Linked DNA regions of Bombyx mori. The protein of the gene in region 1 purifies or fractionates together with the protein of each later gene. This does not show direct contact. Links are inferred from orthologs where the notes say so. Each region holds a gene or a part of one and is shown on either strand. Other genes may lie near its edges.

Region 1 (3,020 bases):
GGAATTGGACTTGGAAAAAATGAATGACTAAATATTAGAATCAGAAGGAGATTATTGTATGTCTGTATTTTAAACTATACTGATAACTATATAGATGTATATTTTGGAACTTTGCAATATTTATACTCTATTTATTATAATACTATATTTATATAATTAAACTTTATACTTTAAATTTCAAATATTTCATAATCAGACATAATTAAAATGATTACATAAAGTAACTAAGTTTTTTTGAAATCTAGATTAATTAACATAAAAAAGTAAACGAAATGAAACCGACCCAAAGTTTTAAGTTACACTGTGGTGGTTGTTGGCATTCACTTTGTAAGTATTCGTTCCGATGAAAACTTAATATCAGCCAAACATAAAACAATAAATAAATAAAACTGCAATAATATGTATACTTTTTTATCTATTCACTTGAATCGAAAATGAACATTCATCACATCCAATTATTACACTAGATTGCACAAAATTACTTTTATTAAGCACATACACCCCACCACATCTACAATCGTATAAATACACATTTTCATCACTGTCAAACACCATTTCAGACAGTCTTACTGTTTCATAAAGCAATAGATCACTATTTTCATGGCAACTTAATGTAGCATCATACTGTTTCCTGGTGCTAGGTTCTCTTAAAACTGACCAAGCTTTTTGTAATAGGCGAAACTTATTATCAGAATCATCAGTTTTATTTTTATCGGGATGTAATGTCAAAGCGAGTCGCTGATAACTTTTCTTCAATTCTTCAAGGCTTGCTGTTCTATCGCAATCTAGTATTTGATAATAATCAATAGGTAGGTCATTACTTTCCATATTTAATAAAAACTCGTAAAAGAGTTTTATTTATAAAAAATAGTTTACCTCTCTTTAATTCAATTGCTGTTCCCACTTCCCAGTCTTTGATTAGAATTTTTTTGTATTTTATTTATGGCCTGGCCCAGTCTTTGATTGATTGTTTGAAATTCATTCTTTATTGTATTATCTATAATTTGTTCATTGGACGGGCAAAAGGAGATAGACCATACAAATTTCAATACTCTTGTCACAAAACTGTAACCTTTAAATAAATATAAATATAATATATATAAATTTAAATGTATGTTAGGTAAGGGGAATAATGGAATTAAATTAATTGCTCATGGGATAAAATTTAAGGAAGTGAATTAAGAAAGACATCACCGTAGGTATTTGTTAGATAATAAATAAGGTTCCATTAAAACTTATAAGATAGGTATGGCGTTCAAATCTGAAGAAACGCACAATTTACGAAATACAATAATTTACACGACTTTGTCCTTCCCCGAAAAAAAGTCCCGCCCAATATACAATTGTTGACGAATAATACCATAGTCGTCTGTGATCACGAATACTTTATGTAGTTATTCTAAGCGTTAGAAATAATTGAAATTAAACGGTTAGGATAGTTTTATTATTATCTACGATTCGCCGAAATAGAAGAAACTGCTATAATCTTAAAATGTAACAAATTCGCTAAACGTGAAGTTTTGTCCTTTGAAGTCACCAGAAATTCCGTTTTTAGATCTGGACAAATAGGCTTGTAAGCTACCTAATGTCAAGGAAAGGATGTCAAAAGTATAACCTCAAAATTTGACAGCCGGGTAACAATAAACATCAAACAAACTAAAACTTATAGAAGTTTTAAATTGTTAACACAAATGTAATGTTGTTTTAGTAAAAATTTCAATATTAACACATTGAAATGCCTACTTGGAACCAAATACAGTCACAACTTAGGAATCCTAACAATCCAGTAGTGTTTTTCGACATTACTGTAGGAACAACGGTAAATACCTCCCCGAACTTATTGTTTTTTATTAGATTTAAAAGAACACACAAAAATTTATGTTTATAAAATATTTATGTTTATTTTAGGAAATAGGTCGTATGATATTCGAGTTATTCGCCGACGTAGTACCAAAAACTAGTGAGAACTTCAGAGAATTTTGTACCGGTGAATACAGGCGGGATGGTGTGCCCTTAGGTTACAAAGGAGCTACTTTTCACAGAGTAATAAAAGATTTTATGATTCAGGGTGGCGATTTCGTAAATGTACGTATTAAGTTTTGTTTATGATAAAACGATGCCTAACTGAACATGATGGAAGTTTATTAATATTTACTATTCATTTTAGGGAGACGGTACAGGCGTTATGAGCATATATGGTGGAAGCACTTTTGCAGATGAAAACTTTGGTTTGAAACATGACTCTCCAGGGTTATTGTCCATGGCAAATAGTGGTAAAGACACGAATGGCTGTCAGTTCTTTATCACATGTGCAAAATGTAATTTCTTAGACAATAAGCATGTAGTATTTGGTAGAGTTATAGATGGATTACTTGTCATGAGGAAAATAGAAAATGTACCAACAGGACCAAATAATAAACCTAAAATACCAGTAACAATATCTCAATGTGGACAAATGTAAATAAAACTTCACTTTAAATTTTATCTTTTTATTATCATTAAATCACAATGGCTCTGCCTCACATTTCTAACAGACTAATAGATAAAATATAATATTCACAAATTTTTACATAAAGTAATCACAATAAATACTCAATAATTATGTACACTGAATTGAACTAATTTTTTTGGTTTGCAATTAGTAAGCGTCAAGTTTTCAAAGTGTGATTGTTTATTAGTAACTTTCTAGGCTGCATTGTTGCCGGCCCATTGCGCCTTCCGACTTCTTTAATGAAAGCACCTTCCATTTGTCGAGCAACTTGGTCAAAAAACAAATTAGATAAATGTGAATGTATAGCTGATCTAAATTCGAATGTTATCTGGAAGTCCACAACACACGACTGCTGTTCTCTTTTTAGACCAGGACTGAATCTCCAAAGGGTCAACATATGGTGGAAGAGTCTTCCATCAGAACACTCTGCTTTTACCAAATGTGGTTTGACTAGCGTAACATTTGAAGTGTAGCTTTCATTGATAGGAGGAAAGCCAATGATCAAGTCCGCCTTCAGGTTTCCTGGTGT
Region 2 (4,072 bases), on another chromosome or scaffold:
CAGTAGGATTTTTTTTTTTTTTTTTATTACTTTCGATAGGCGGACGATCTTACGGCTCATCTGATGGGAAATGATAACCGTCGCCCATAGACATCCAAACTACATCAGTGACTCAGATGCGCTGCCTATCCTGGCCTGGATGGGCAGCCTTATGTATGTTACACCGGCTATCCTGTCCTTCAGACCGGAACACAGTATTACTGTTTTGCGGCAGAAATAGACAGGACGGTGGTACCAACCCGGGCGGGCTTCTACACAGAACCCTACCACCAGTGAAGTAAGTATTCAGATCCAGGCCACTGCCCCAGCATTGGTGATTTCCATGAGCAATTGTTACCACTCACAGTAAGGTAAGCTTTGTCTGGTTAAGTAGAAAAAGTACTTGAATAGCTAGAATAACTAAAACACCGAAATATTTCGTTTTTAAAGCAGTTAGAATTTAAATGTTCTGAAGTTAAATGTACTCACAGTAGCAATCACAGGTTGCCTTATAGAATAAATTGGCAATTAGTTCTTCAGACTGTGAAATATTCTCTTCTGTTCGGAGCCACAAGAGCCAATGATCAACTTTTATAACTGACATCTCCCATAATCTTTCAAACGCCGTTCGCCATTGCCCCAGTTCCGATAGACGCCTGAAAATTTGATATGCTTTGTTTTTGGCAAATACATATCTATAAATTATAAAATTCTAACTCACATGTTTAATAAAAAAACAAGATTTGAAACACTTTGGGATTCCCCGCTCTAAATGAAGTAATATTAAATTTGATTAAAGGAAAATTTCTGATCAAAACATTTTAGGAACAAATTATTAAAAAAAAAACTTATTTGAGAAATTCAATATAATAATTACCACAAAGTCTGGATCAATTCAATGTGATCATCATAATTAAAAGGATGTAATGTGATTTTGTGTTCATATTCGGCCACTTTCCTCTGCCAATCTCCCATCTCCAATATTTCATCCTAAAATTTATTATTTCTGAATATTGTAAACATTTTCAATTTTTACTTTGCTTGGATATTGCACAAGTTATAATAAATATTCACACTCCTTGGAGGTTTGAAATAACTAGTTACTAAGATAGTTTTTCTTGTATCACTCGATTATGTTTCAATAATTTATACACATGACCATATTCTCAATTATTCACTTCCTTGAATTATAATTTAATGAGCTCAGTAAATTACATTTAAGAAGATAGTAATAAACTTTATAATTTTGTGAAACTTATGTATTAGGTGCACAACGAAATTCTTGCTATTTATTAATATGTGGCTTCAACAATAAATGCTGGTCAATTTTGATGGAATTATGATCACAAATAAAAAACATTGCCGGGAAATGTTTTCAAACTCAATTAATGAGATTAAGTCGGACACTGCTTGAGAAAAAAGATCAATTACTTGAGGACCATATACAAACAATATATTATCTTTGAATACCTTCTCATTTCCTTATTTTGTTAAAATCTTATGTTTTTATTTTTAATTAGTAAGGGTTGTGTTTTCATTCAAGGCAACCGTGTCATCCCAACCCTGTATGCTAACTACAAATTTTATAACAATAAAACGTTTTTTTCAAGACTGTAAAGCAACTGGCTAGATTATATTAAAACTTTATTTTGGACATCCAACCCTCTTGACAGCAACTGTGGGGTTATAATAACAATATTATAAGCACAGAAAATTATTTTACTATATATATTTTAACATTGTTTAATAGTTATACGTTTCTCATTTTATTTATTGATAAATTTTATCTTGTGTGTCCATGAAAAATGTAACTGAATTGTATTTGAAGCATAGGAATAAGACAAATATCTTAGAAACACAGGGATTAACAGTGCATATGTTGAGTCCATCCTGTTGCTGAAAGTGAAATTTGCAAAATGCCAGTGGAGTTTAAGCTTTAGACATTAAATTGCTCGATTAAATCATAAAAGAAGTTTTAGTTATATCTATGACCTTTGAAAAATGAAGAAAATACTTTTATATTATATTATCTTTAAATTGACCCAAAACTTAATTTACATCTAGACATTTGTGCCTACAATTATTAGCAGAGTTTACGTTTTCATTCCAATTCATTGGAACTAAACTGAGACCTTAGTACTTATATCTCAAGGTGGGTGGCGCATTTACGTTGTAGATATCTATGGGCTCCAGTAACCACTTAACACTAGGTGGGCAGTGAGCTCGTCCACCTATCTGTGTAATAAAAAACTAAAAAAATATAAACAAAAAAAACAATGAACCAAAATTTCATTTTTTTTATTTGTTTAAACTTCCCTTTACATATGCTATTGGTGTCACAATAAGGTAGATATTTTTATAGTTAAGTTTGTACAGCTACATACTAAAGAAAGCAAATATACAAAACATGTTTACATTCTATTATGATACATTGTATTATGATTTCAAAATTAGGTTCAATTTGTATTTTTAAATGGAGTTAATAATTACAAATTATAATTTGCTTTGGTAAAACGTAGAATCACATGTATTAAAATGAAAACCGGCTAATTAACTTGAAATACAGACAAAGTATCATTTTGTAAATTAAAATCAGAATAGCTTACATCAGAATCTGGATCCTGGTCGCCATCATCTTCTTCAACCACAACTTCAATTTCATTTTCCCCTTCAGAACCGTTCTGAATTTCGTCTTCTACTATCGCCATTGTTTATCACACGAGAGTAATCAATAACTGTGTAGTTTTGTATTTGTTAAATTCACAAACGAACGAATAATGGCGATTGGCAGAATGTGATTGTGGAGGTATTTGTCAATTGTCAAAATAAAGTAGTGGTTCCATTTTTCTAACTGGAAAGGCAACGAAATCCGACCATACAACCTAATTTTTGTATTTTCTGTTTTATAAAAACTAAAAGGAACGAAATGAAATTAAGTTGATTAATTTGAGACATTACTCAATTGTGATAAAATTATGAAACGACATGATATGCGATAAAATATAGTCTCAGTGAAATGATGATTTTTTACGTAGACTTTTTGGAAGATCCCGAGAAGCTATCGAATTTACTTATCATGCAATTTAAGAAAAACGGGTTAATTAACAAATTGTGAACTTAAACATACTTACAGAAAAATAGTGAAAATTATTGAAAATTGGATTAACTTTTTAGAAAATATTTGGGAGATTTTGTTCCTTTTTCCAATATTTGTGGACTTTTAGAAATATTAGACAGTGAACAAACCACCAATGGTCAGACCTGAGGTTTATCTGAAGAATCTGATCTAAAGAATCTCTAAATTAATAAAATCTCAAAACTCCAATGCTTACCTTGGCTATACTGTTGCCTGTAAATGTGGTAGAAGGCGTCTCACCTTATAATTATCGCAGGTGGTAATGAGTCACAGCTACTTGGATCTTCTTTTTTTTTCCCTACCTATTTGCTAGTGGCATAGATAAGATATATATACCGGGTTGGTGGCCTACGGGGCTAAAGTCCATTCCCGATCCTGCGAACCGAATGGAAAGCAGTCGACGTCGCCCAAAACACACCATTACGGATCCTCCCCATCCACTAACGATGCTTTTAGGTACCTCAAGCACCGGTCACCGTCCTCGCCAAACCCGTAGTTTGCGACGAAGGGCTCGGCGAGTAAATTAACCCACAGACACAGCCCACTGAGTTTCTCGCCGGATCTTCTCAGTGGGCCGCGTTTCAGATCCAGTGGTAGATTCTGCGAAGCACGGCTCTTGCTAGGATCCATGTTAGCAACGTCGTCAGGTTTGAGCCCCATGAGCTCACCTACATGTTAGGGCGAAGCTGAAATAGCCTCTCAAGTTTATCAGCACAGGTAAAAAAAAAATGCGGGCCTATATTTAGCTTCGCATGGACTGGTTGGTAAGCTCACGGGCTCAGCCTGAGAGAATTTGTCAACGCCAGCCCTAGTAGAAGCAGTGCTTGCTTCGCAGAATTTACCACTGGACCGAAATTGCAACCCATTGTGATGATCCGGGGGGATACTCAGTGGTCTGCCATGAACCAAGACGAGGACGATGCCCGGTGCTTGAAGAGCCCAAAAGACCGTTACTTA

The links. The genes of interacting proteins can lie anywhere in the genome.
Region 2: the proteins of peptidyl-prolyl cis-trans isomerase H (region 1) and squamous cell carcinoma antigen recognized by T-cells 3 purify together in Homo sapiens (affinity purification with mass spectrometry; 3 studies listed by BioGRID and IntAct, with this or other methods). This does not show direct contact. The link is inferred for Bombyx mori from reciprocal best matches to the Homo sapiens genes PPIH and SART3.

Annotation. Positions count from the first base shown.
Region 1 is NC_085116.1:6,472,079-6,475,098, forward strand, and holds peptidyl-prolyl cis-trans isomerase H, read left to right. Parts: upstream 1-1,395; 5' UTR 1,396-1,735; coding exon 1,736-1,819; intron 1,820-1,908; coding exon 1,909-2,085; intron 2,086-2,167; coding exon 2,168-2,461; 3' UTR 2,462-2,479; downstream 2,480-3,020. Other genes in the region: coenzyme Q-binding protein COQ10 homolog A, mitochondrial, read right to left, coding at 2,649-3,020. UniProt on the Homo sapiens protein: PPIase that catalyzes the cis-trans isomerization of proline imidic peptide bonds in oligopeptides and may therefore assist protein folding. Participates in pre-mRNA splicing.
Region 2 is NC_085122.1:6,475,721-6,479,792, forward strand, and holds the start of squamous cell carcinoma antigen recognized by T-cells 3, read right to left. Parts: upstream 2,802-4,072; 5' UTR 2,688-2,801; coding exon 2,586-2,687; intron 970-2,585; coding exon 857-969; intron 636-856; coding exon 469-635; intron 1-468. UniProt on the Homo sapiens protein: U6 snRNP-binding protein that functions as a recycling factor of the splicing machinery. Promotes the initial reassembly of U4 and U6 snRNPs following their ejection from the spliceosome during its maturation.